Cricetulus griseus: one gene and its partners. The protein of the gene in region 3 interacts with the protein of the main gene of each other region in a biochemical or structural test. Links are inferred from orthologs where the notes say so. Each region holds a gene or a part of one and is shown on either strand. Other genes may lie near its edges. The genes, in order: Dcun1d4, Kctd17 and Cul3.

What was found.
Region 1: the proteins of Cul3 (region 3) and Dcun1d4 form a complex in vitro, tested with the Homo sapiens proteins (2 studies listed by BioGRID, with this or other methods). The link is inferred for Cricetulus griseus from reciprocal best matches to the Homo sapiens genes CUL3 and DCUN1D4.
Region 2: the proteins of Cul3 (region 3) and Kctd17 form a complex in vitro, tested with the Homo sapiens proteins (3 studies listed by BioGRID). The link is inferred for Cricetulus griseus from reciprocal best matches to the Homo sapiens genes CUL3 and KCTD17.

What each region holds. Positions count from the first base shown.
Region 1 is NW_023276807.1:140,060,871-140,064,514, reverse strand, and holds part of Dcun1d4 (DCN1-like protein 4), read right to left. Parts: intron 2,482-3,644; coding exon 2,377-2,481; intron 271-2,376; coding exon 168-270; intron 1-167. UniProt on the Homo sapiens protein: Contributes to the neddylation of all cullins by transferring NEDD8 from N-terminally acetylated NEDD8-conjugating E2s enzyme to different cullin C-terminal domain-RBX complexes which are necessary for the activation of cullin-RING E3 ubiquitin ligases (CRLs).
Region 2 is NC_048595.1:375,539,417-375,543,060, reverse strand, and holds the end of Kctd17 (BTB/POZ domain-containing protein KCTD17), read right to left. Parts: intron 2,882-3,644; coding exon 2,788-2,881; intron 2,625-2,787; coding exon of another isoform or gene 2,260-2,624; exon of another isoform or gene 2,199-2,259; coding exon of another isoform or gene 2,111-2,198; exon of another isoform or gene 1,942-2,110; intron 1,289-1,941; coding exon 912-1,288; 3' UTR 481-911; downstream 1-480. UniProt on the Homo sapiens protein: Substrate-adapter for CUL3-RING ubiquitin ligase complexes which mediates the ubiquitination and subsequent proteasomal degradation of TCHP, a protein involved in ciliogenesis down-regulation.
Region 3 is NC_048595.1:432,991,581-432,995,719, forward strand, and holds the start of Cul3 (cullin-3), read right to left. Parts: upstream 2,828-4,139; 5' UTR 2,700-2,827; coding exon 2,634-2,699; intron 1-2,633. UniProt on the Homo sapiens protein: Core component of multiple cullin-RING-based BCR (BTB-CUL3-RBX1) E3 ubiquitin-protein ligase complexes which mediate the ubiquitination and subsequent proteasomal degradation of target proteins.

The DNA of each region.
Region 1 (3,644 bases), on a different chromosome or scaffold from region 3:
GGGAAGGGAGGAAGGGAAGAAGGGAGATGGGGGGGGTAGGAGAGAGGTAGAGGGGTGAGGGGAGAGGTAAAAGAAAGTACATGGCTTGGAAGGTCTTCCCAGGGAGGAAGATGTGCAGTGTACCAGGTCTGGGAGGAAGGAGGGATGACTCAGCACCCCGTACTCACACGCTCCATCTTCATCATAGTTGCTGAGGTCCAGACTAATTGTCCTGCTGAACTCTAGCACATTGCACCACTGGTCTTTGTTTATCACTTTATATTTTGATTGCTGATGGGAGAAAGTAATGTGGTTAATGACACAAAATTAACAAGTGGGATGGTTTCAGTTTCTATATGAACCAACTTAGGAAAGGTCATGTAGGGCTAACTCAACTGAAGCACTGGTCGGGGAAATGGTGAGACAGAACAAGGGTTGAATTTAAAATGAGAGTTTTTCATTACAACATCACTATAAGGACACATAGTGGTGGTACGTCCTTCACAGCAACGCTGCAAAGATAAATGAGAGGCCTACATAGATTATACAAAGTACTTCGTCTAATACTTGGCAGAAAGCAAGTGCTAAGCAAGGAGTAAGTCTCAGCGACAAGCCAATGCAACAGTCCTGCTCACTGCCAAGCTGCTGGCTTCAAGTGCATGCATCAGGTGGCTACTTGGTGCCAGTGGCTCAGAGCTGGGAGCTAGCTCCTCCATGACTCTCATCACAGAAGAAACTGGGACAGTCATGAAGTGATTACTCTATCACTCTTAAACAAGAAATCTGCTACAGGTAGATAAACACAGTATCCTAGAGTTTCAAATGCAAAATCCAGAGCTAACATTAAAAAAAAAATCCTAATAGAAAAAAAAAATAAAATCAAAAATAGTAAAATAATGTAAATCTTTTTAAAAGGGCAAAGAGTCAAGCCAACAGTTTTGAAGATGCAGGCAAAGGACAGGCTGGAGTGAGCATGCTGCTGCCTCCTTCTAAAGGGAAAAACACCAACTTAGCAAGAGAAAAGCACAGACTTTAACTTCTGAAACATGAAAAGTGAAACCAGTCTCAAAACAGCCAGTAGTGTTCCTGGTACTGAGCAATGTCAAACTTACTCGAAGCCAAAGGGCTCCTCACCTGAAGGTTCAAATCCTACTAGACTCACTGCGTACAAGAACCCATTTCTTGCCAGGCACAGTTGGTGGTGCACACCTTTAATCCCAGCACTCGAGAGGCAGGGGCAGGCAGATCTCTATGAGTTCGAGGCCAGCCTGGTCTCCAGAGAGAGTGCCAGGATAGGCTCCAAAGCTACACAGAGAAACCCTGTCTTGAAAAACAAACAAACAAAAAGCCCATTTCTTTCCTACTCCTGTTCCAATAGTGAGGGCTTCTCTCAGTGATGGACAGGGAAGCTGGGACAGACTCCAGGGAGAGCGCACCATTGCATCAACATGTACTTGTATTGTATTGATGAGCAGCTTTTACTAGCTTTCTTATGGAGTGCCAGTTAGTAGTTACAAGTGGCTTCTAGTAACAATCTTCAAAGGTTACACTGATTGCTAAGTATTATGGGCCACTACATAAAGCAAGTTGTAAAGAAAGATTATTTCAAGTGGGTGTTGGAATTGGGCAAGACACAGGATTTTCTCAAAGATTCTATACTCAACCTTGAAACCAAAGGCCATGTTTAAAAGGGCTCAAGTAGGAGGGGGCCCAAGGCAGATGCCACATGTGACAGACAGCCCAAGCAACTCAAATACTTCTCTGCTTCCTCCAGGTTCTGCCAAAGGACATTTGGAGAAAACCCACAACTAATTATTGGCAGCCCAAAATTGTGGCCTGCTGTGAAAGCAAACAGCAACGATGTAAGGAAATGTTGGTTGTTTCTGCCACCTGGTTAAGCACGTTTAAATTGAAGGAGACACTGTGGGCACACCTAATCCAGGGCTCACAGCTATCCAAGCACTCCGGTAGGTACTTGGAGATGAAAGCCGTTAAGAACAAATCACAAACTCTTTTCAGTGAAAGGCAGGTGGCTGATATTTAATGTTGGCGTAAAACTGGAAATTCATCTGAAAGAAAGTAAAGCTTGACTTCTATTGGGAGTCTAATACCAGTGGAGTCTCTCCTACAAGGGGCCGAGAGGAGAGAAGGGGCACTTGGCTGTTCGTACACAAACTACTACTAACACACACACACACACACACACACACACACACACACACACACACACACACACTCTCCCCAAGATATGCAGCTGCTGATTGACAGCAATCAGGGAACCATAATTTCTATGAGCAGAAAGCTACAACAAAGAAAAAAGTAATCACACAAAACAGATGAAATATATGGTAGTTCTAAGCAAGCAAACATACATTTCATAAAGTAATAATTTGGTACCTCTAAGAATTGGTGAAAAACTGGAAAAAGGGGCCAGATTTTTCCTAATAACAGTCCCAACATGCACTTGGCAGTGTTTATGTCTAGGCTGCGCTGGTCCTTTTCCTGTTTAATAAATAAAAACAAGGGTAAGCCAGATGCTTCTAAATCACAAACTCTAACAATCCAAACATGTATTTCAGTTCAACGAGAAATTGGTAAATAGCTCATTTATTACACATCATAAAACTCTGAAGGAACTAAGGAAATGGTAGCCAAACACAATGCAAAGCCTGACATTTGAGTGTCACATACAAATTTATTCTGAGAAAGAGTGATGTGAATAACTTTACCCTAGTGGCAAATCCATTATGTAGTGGTAGCTACAATCATTTCCTAGGCAAATAAGAACCATAACCTGCTTGCTTACATCATGATAATTACCAAAATTATAACTGCTGATCCGAAAGCCCTCAGGCGAACTCAGTGGAGTCCAAGTGGTTTGCTTTTCAGTGCTTAGGACTGGGTTTCCTCAGAGACTCATTTTTCCAACAGCTTTATTTTGTGTGGTAAATATTTTTCTTCTACCTAGACATACTGGAACTAAATTCAACTAGAAAGGGTTGGTGCCCTGGAGCATCTCTCCCCATCAAAAGACAAGCTCATCCACCTGTCTAGGGAAACAGGGACTCTTATCTCCACACAGCTTACCTAGCATGTGGCATGCATGACTTCTAGCACAGTGGTTAGTGACTACTAGGAAACAGAACGTACACACACACACAAAGGAAGCTTATTCCACTTTTATTTGTAATTAAAGGTTCTACTTGTCATTGTATTTTTCCTGCACATTGCGAGTCCATTCCTATAAGGTGAGGGGATGTGTTCTTGGACACAGGAGACAATCTCACACATCTACAGCACTCCTTCATGTGGTCCATCAACTAGAGCGGAAATCTGTAAGAGGATTTTTCTATAAAAAGGGGAGGTGCTTAGTTATCCCACTACAGTAGAATGTCACTATTCACCTCACCACATTAAGGAACCACGTTGCAAACACCCTTGGCCATGTGCACCTTTTGACAGAAGCGCTGTTCAGTATATGGTGAATTTCCTATCCAGGCCACCTATCTTCAAAGGACTTAAAGTGACACAGCCATGTGAGGCTCACTCAACAAGCTAACAAGGGGAAAGAAGGCAGAGCAACTTGCTGTTTAGGAAAGACATTCAAAGGGGCTTCTGGTCATAGCCGGTACGTACAGCAGCTATTCATGAACAAGCCAGGTAGG
Region 2 (3,644 bases), about 57 Mb from region 3:
TTCCACCTATCCCATTAATCTTAAACCAGGTGGGGAAGGAGGACCACATCTTTTATCAAGCCTCCATCTGGCTCCTGAAAAGCTGACTGGAAAAGGGAGCTCACCTTTAGGAAGTGCATGTCTCAGGGTTGTGGTGGTGTTCTCCAAGCTGTGAGCTGGCAGGAGGGTGCCCTGGCCCCTGCCAGGTGTAGGGACACCCAGACGCCAGTGGCGTAGCTTCACAAAGATGGGGAGTAGGATGAGTCGGGCAAGAGGGTGAGGTGGCCCAGCAGGAAGGAGAGGGGTAGCCCATGGCTTAGGCTACAGCAGAGCAGTTGACAGAGCCAAGTAGCCTCAACTTTGACTCCTGAGTACAGGACTTAGTCATACACCCAGGAAAGTGACAATGACAGGGGGCTTCAGAAAAAGCAGGTCTACCTCACCTGAGTTTAAGCCCTGTTCCCCAAAGGAGCCCAGAGAAAGAGGGAGGCAGCCAGGCCAGCCTGTTGGTTTCAGGTTTATTTCATGGTGAGTGGGACACAGCTGGCACATGTGTGCCCATCCCAGGGGTCAAGACATGGGAGGGGCAGCTCAGCCCCTTTCACACCCGTCCCCTTCCCCATCACAAGTTCCTGGGCAGCCTCAAGACTCGCTAGCACACTCTGCTGCCAAACACGTGGTGGCAAAGGGGAAGGGCAGCCAAGGTGATGCCAATCCTGTACCTGGCTTCCTGCTTGGCTTAGTCCTCGCATTGTCCCCCACCAGTATCTGAAGCCATAGTGTCCCACTTGGGGGCTCGGCTAGAGTTCCCTCCCCCCAAAAGTAACGATTGCAGCCCTAGACACTTAGGGCTCCAGGAACCCCATTCCTCCCTGATCCTCACAACACCCCTGTGAGGTAGGTGGGAGGAGGGGTGCCATGGAGACAGAGGCTCAAGGAGGTGCTATGACTGGGCTGGGAGGGAGTGGATCCGCCATGCAGCAAGGGGGCCCAGGCGAGGGGACAAACGGGCCTGGGAGATATGGGTGGGCAGTGCCACACTTTGGCCATGGGCAGATGACTCTGCCTGGACACACCAGGGCCCACCTCAGGCCTTCCAAGGTCCCAGAGGGCCCCAGGCCTGGGCCTGGAGGCAGGGTTGAGTCCCAGCCCAGCAGATGCAGGCAGCAGTGATAAGGGAGAGGGCAAGTCTTCCTCCTCGGGCCGGGGGCCCACCCCGTGGTACAAAAATAAAGGATTTCAGATCGGAACCCCAAGTCCCTGGAGGTGATCTGGGGGCTCACATCCGGGTGCCTCTGGCTTGTAATAGCTAGAAAATAAGAGAGGGGAGGGACAGAAGGAAGAGGAGAGGGGGTCAGAAAACCAGGGTGGGGGTGAGGATAGGGTGATGCCAGGACAGGAAAGTTGGGGAGAGTGGGAGAGGGAGGGAGAGAGGGAGAGAGAAAGGCAAGTGAGTCCAGGCTGGCTCTGGAGGGGGGGGGGGGCTGAGGCCCAAAGAAGGCGGAGTCAGGACTGAGGAGGGGAGAAACTGCCAGTCTTGGGCTGGTTGTGGCAGCCTGGTGGTGGGGGGCGTTAGGAGGGACAGATCACTGCTTTCCCAGGCAGAAAGGGGACACCGAAAGCAGCTGTCCACACCATCTTAGAATCCAACTGTGGCCCAGAGAGAGGCAGTGACTTGCCCAAGGTCACATAGGGAGATCCGTCTGACTGGGGCCTATTGTCACCCCTGTCAGAGAATAGGTCTTTTCCTGCCACGCTCCAATCCTTGGCAGGCTCTTGCCAACTCATTAGCCAAGGGACACCACATGTGGCCTGGCACCCACTCCACAGAACTAGGGGACACAGTACCCACATGCAGTGTGGCACGAGCTTCTAGACATGCGTGATGGGGCAGAGGCCAGTCCTCTCCTCCCCGGCCTGGCTCCAGGGCCTACTGACTACAGGCAGGCAGGTACAAGACACTCCAGCTCTGGACTTTTTCAGTTCTCAGGGCCTCACCCCAAGGCCCAGATAAGCTGAGAGACTTTGGTGAGTGGAGAGAATCAGCCAAAAGCTCGGCTCAAGTCCAAGGACAAGATATGAGCACCCTCCTTGCTTCCGCCCCTCCCTCCAGCTCTGCCAGGCTACAAACCAGGGGCGGCAGCTCTGGGGGCGGGCGCGGGGCCGAGGAGCTCTCACAGCAAGCTCAGGCTTGGGTCTGGGAGGGTGCGGACAGGGACCTGCAAGGAGGAAACGTGAGGAGGCAAGCGGGAAGAGTGGGGCCTGTGGCCAAGGTCAGCCTCAGAGGTGCCCTGCTGGGTTGGAGGATATAGAGCAGATGCGGCCACGCCCCTCCTCCCCAGGCCAGGAGGCAGAAGGGGCCGAAAGGGGCGCAGGAGGCGGCAGGCAGGATGCTTGGGGATGCAGGGCCAGGGGGCCCGGGGAGAGGGCACGGGACACTGGGACTAGGGCAGCCCCAGGGTGGAGACGGGAGCAGGCAGAGAGGAAACCTGGGCAGGGGCAGAGAGGGAAGAGGCAGGGTGCAGATGAGATCCAGGAGGAAGAGGAGGTGGATGAAGATGAAGCAGGACCTCCAGCAGGAAGCGGAGGAGGAGGAGGCGGTGGTGGGAGGGAGAAAAGGTTAGCGGGATCCTGAGATGACAGGGCTGCAAGAGAAAGTGAGAGAGGGATGGTTATGGGCGAGGCGCCAGGCGCTGAGCTAACCCTGGTGGCCCGCCCCCGCAGTTCCCGGCGGCAGCTGCTCCAGCAGGGAGAGGGCGGGAGGCCCGGGCTGTCATTAGCAATCGTCCTCCTGGGGGCGGGCTGCACCTTTCTCCTGGGCATCCGCCTCCACCTGCACCTGGGCCACCTCCACCTCCTCCACCTCCTGCCGCCGCTGCTCCTCCAGCTGCTCGTCCGTGCTCTGCGAACCCGCCGCCGACCAGGGAAGAGAGAGTGGAGACACTGACGAGGGGGCGGGGCTGCGGGCGGCTGTCCGCAGGGACCCCCGACCTCAGGACAGAGGGGCAGGCAGGATGAAAGGAACCTCTGAGAAAGGGAGGGCAGTAGCCAAAGCAGCTGGTGCGTCTTCCCTAGCCCAGAAAAGATGCTTAGAGACCATCCAGGCTGCTGTTACAGAGTCCGGCTATGGGGAGGACTGGAAGAGGAGCCACTGGGCTCCTGGAAAGGCCTTACTTTGGGAGGGTGGAGCCAGAGCAGGAAGCCAAGGTTGTCCCAGGGTAGTCACCAGCCAGATCTAGATGCCAGCAACAGTGTCTGGCAGCCTGGGCCAGGTTGGTGACAAAAGGGAGGCAGAGCAGCAGGGTACCCTGCACTCTTGCAGGGAGGAGCCAGCCACTGGCATGGGGGGAGGATGGCAAGGGGATTACAGCAGGGCTGGGTGGTAACACACGGGAAGCCAGAGTTCCTAAAACTCCTGCACATGGGCACAGCTTCCACCTTCCCAGCCAGGATCATGCCTATTGTGTGGGCCCTACTGCAGGCCCAAGGGTACTGGGCCTGACTCAATTCTTCCCCACAGGCTGGCTGCCAACTGAGCTCTTGGAAGAATGCTGCCTAGGCCAGAGCCCACAGGGCTCCTAAAACCACTCAGGGAGGCTACCCAAAAGGCCTGGGGGAAAGTAGGACTGTGGTATTTCCCCATCCTGACCTAGGCTGACACTAGA
Region 3 (4,139 bases):
CAAAACAAAACAACAAAAAAAAAACTTTAAAAAATTTACCAACAAAAAGATGTAAAATAAACTATAGTCTATATAATAAAAGTAAGTCTAAAAATTAAATCAACAATTTTTTCTGTTAACAGTTCAAGTACAGAAATTCTTAATCTTAAATTTTGTAAGTTTACTTAAAAATGTAAACTGGGGGTGGGGGCAGAAAAAATTCAAGCTGTGCATTAAGCTAGTGTAGTGTAACTTTCACTCTGCTGAATAATGTGAAAACAAACTTAAAATATACACTAAAAATACAAAGAGAACCTGTTTGGTAAAATTTTATCTGCAATACTCTCGTATATATGAAATATTCTGTAAGGTAACTCACCACTACTGTACAGTGAAAATGAAACAAATCCAAACTCACTCATTCCTTTTACATATCAATTTTTTTTGGGGGGGGGACGACCCTGAAATGAGCAACTGAAATTTTTCATTAACCTACGGTTTGCCATAAGTTACAGCTAACTATATATCCACATAGTGTAACATACACCAGTTGTAGGAATATACACACATAAGCATAAGTGGTATTTTTGTGTGTGTGAAATACTATTTATAACTTCTGAGTAGCAGTTGATGTGGGCTGTAGTTTTAGACAAGACCACTAATCTGGATGAAAGTCTGACAGTCTAAGGACCTGATTCCCAGAAGTCAATGAAATATCACTGGAGCCTTATCTACCCCCAACAATGGCTGATTATTTTCAATGGGAACTACCTTGACTGTTATTTATACTTATGAACTAGGAAAAAAACGAAAACACAAAACAAATCTCTGTTCCCGTACTATGTATTAGCTAACCTATCAAACACTATTATCATCTTCAGCTAATGGAATAAAATTCTCTCCTGCTTTTAATCCCTAATACTAGCTCCAGAAAACAAAGATCTTTGCCTTTACACATCTACTGATAAATCCTAAAGCTCCAGGAACAGTACCTGCATACAGCACTCAGTGTATCTTGGAGCAATGAAGGGATGGGAGAGGAAAACAGGTGCTAGCAGGGAGAGGAGGAGGTCAAAGAGGTGCAAGCACAGATAGACAGAATACAACTTGTCAGAGAGGAGGTCTTCCACATCTCACCAAACAAAGACTTCAAGAAAGAACAGCACCAAGAGCAAACATTTCCTAGAAAACCAGTGTCACGATTTCATTAAAAGACACACACACCCCAAAAAATAGAAGGGGGGGGAGGGATCAGACTTGACAATCACCTGGATGGTGGATTCAGGAGGAAAATTTTATTACTCAAATTCATAAACCCAGGCCACTGCCCAATTACAAAGGAAAACATAGTAGTGAACTTTATCAGTGTTGTCTTTCCAGCATTTCTCACTTTCTGATGTAAAAATAAATCGTTCATAATGTAATTAATATCAAAATACTTCTTCCTCCTGATTGTACCCACCCTGTTTACATAGGCCCCATTTATTTACATAAAAGTTTCAATATGTTCCTTGCAAATTCACAATTCTGCATCAGTTGTATACTTTTCTTTTTGACATTAAGAATTCAGTGGCCCTCAAGTTCTCCAGGACAAAGTTACTCAACTCGGGCAACACTGTGGTCTGTCTGTCTTTCCTTTCCTCACTGCAAAGGGTACCCACACGACAGAATGCTTATGAGCCTCAGAAGAGAAAAACAACAACTTTCCTTGGTTTTACTTTTAAGAGGACTTGCCCGACTGCGGGTTTGCCCGTTTGACTTTTACCTGTTACTGTAGCGACATGAGCAAGTATGTCCAGTTTCTCTGTTACAACAGGACCTTTTAATTGCCTGCCACTGGCTGTCTGATGGAGGCATGACATCCGAAGTTAGGCTCCATCTACTAAACACCGCAAGCCTATATGACTCAACGCAACGCCAAGAGAGAAAAAAAAAAAAGTTTCTCAAGAGAAAAACGTTTGCTGTCGCTAAAAGAAACGTACAAGGTAAAACTAGCCTGCGTGGCGACTATTCTTGGGGACTTCCCTGGCTAAGAGATGGAAAAGCAGGAGAGTGCAGCTCCTTCTGTGCCTGGCCGGCCCTCCTCGGAGCGGAGCGTCTGGTGAAGCGCTCAGGAGGCTTGCGGGATCAAAGATGCTATAAATACTAGGCTCGGTGCTGCTGCTGCTCTTTAGCCACCGGGCATTTCTGTCAGTGAGTGGGGCAGGCGGGCGGCAAGACGGCTCCTGACTGAGGAGGGGGCAGAGGCGGACGGTCCTCCCCACCACCGTCCAAGCCCAGCCGGCTCCTTCTGGAAACCAGCAGCTGAAAGTTACACACACACACACACACACACACACACAAACACACACACACACACACGCCCCACGCGAGGGCTGCGGCGGCGGCAGCGCGCGTCCCCTTCGGGCCGAGGCAAGCGAGGCCGGCGCGAAGGAGGCCCCGGGGCGACCGGGGCGTCAGGAACGGCCCGGCTCGCGCCCGGTGGCGACCGCGCCGGCCCGCGCCGCCCGCTTGCCCTGGAAGGCTCGCGCCCCGCCACCGGCGGCCGTGGGGTGAGGGGAGGCGGGCTGCGGCCTGTTGGCGGAGTTCAGCCCCGGCCTCGCGTGCGGCTCCCGGCCGCGGCTCCGGGTCCCGGGCGCCGAGGACCGACTCACCGGAAAGGCCCGGATCCGCATCTTGGTGTCCTTCCGGCTGCCCGTGCCTTTGCTCAGATTCGACATGGTGCTCGGCCCCTCCCCGGTGGCGGCGGCGGGTGCGGGTGCGGCGGCTGCGGCGGCGGCTCGCACTCCGAGGCGCCGGTGTCACATTGAAGGCGGGAGGGCGGCCGCGGGCTCGGCGGGGGCGGCGGCGCGGCCCCCGGGCTGCGGCTGGCAGCGGGCCGGCCCCTGCGCGGGGCCGCGCCGGCGGCGGGCGGCGGCTCGGGCCGGCGGCCTCGGGCTCGGCGCTGCGCTGGCGCGGCGGCTCGCGGGCTTCCCCTCGCGCCGGGCTCGGCTCCCTTTATCGCGCTCCTCCGCGATGGCGGCGGCGGCGGCGACGGACAAACATCTCACTGCGCAGGCCGAACGTCCTCCTCCTCCTCCTTCTCCTCCTCCGCCTCAGCGAGACGAGATCCGGCCCAGAGGGTGGAGGGGGGAGGAGGGAGGGAGGAGAGCCGAGAGTGGAGAGATGGGGGGAGGGGGCGGGAGGACGGGAGGGGAAGCGGGAAGCGCGCGGCCTGCGGCAACGTTCCAGATTCTCGGCGAGATTCGGGGCGGCGCGCGCCGCGCCGCGGCGCGGGAGGGGCCGGCGGCGCGGGCGCGGGTCGGAGCCGGGAGGGCGGGAGGGAGGGAGCGCGAGGAAGGGGCGGGGACGCGGAGGAGGGTGCGGAGCTAGGAATGACAGCGGGCAGCGTCCTGGGGGCGGGAAAGGGGCGGGGCCCGGGGCCAGGAGGCGTGGGCTGCCTTTTCAAAAGAGGAGCGTCCGAGACCCCCGGTAGGCGGGGGCGGCCGCTGATTGGTGGAGGGCGAAGATGATGTGTCACGTGGGCAGTGGGCGGGGGAAGTTCCGGGAGCCAAGCTGGGATTTTTCAGCGCCGTGGCCCCCGCCCGCCCGCCCGGCGGAGCCCCCTTGCAGGTAGTCCCAGGCAAGGGCGTGGGTGCCCGTGGGGCGGCTCAACGTCCTCGAACTGTGGCTGTGTTTTTCTAGGGCACGTGGCCTAGGGATGGGTACTTGAGCCCCAGCCAGAAACTTGGAAGCAGAGTTTGTGCCCAATGAGAAGCTGATGTCCTATATCGAGCTAGGTGTTGCAACGCCTCACAACTGAGGCGACCAGGCTTCCTTGCTTGCACTGCGCTAGCTCCTGGGTTTGTCGGTAAATTTGGTATTTTCTGGAGGATCCAGAACCTACTAATGTGAAAACCGGTTTTTGTTTGTATCGAAATAAAACGAGTGCCTAATGTACCACATCTTTTTTTATTCCCCTTTTTTTGGGGGGTCGGGGGGAGGCCGGGGTTCGAGACAGGGTTGCTCTGTGTAGCTTTGGAGCCTATCCTGGCACTCGCTCTGGAGACCAGGCTGGTCCCGAACTCACAGATCCGCCTGCCTCTGCCTCCCGAATGCTGGGATTAAGGTCGTGCACCACCACTGCCCTGCGTACTACAATATCTTAATAGTCTGTGTTA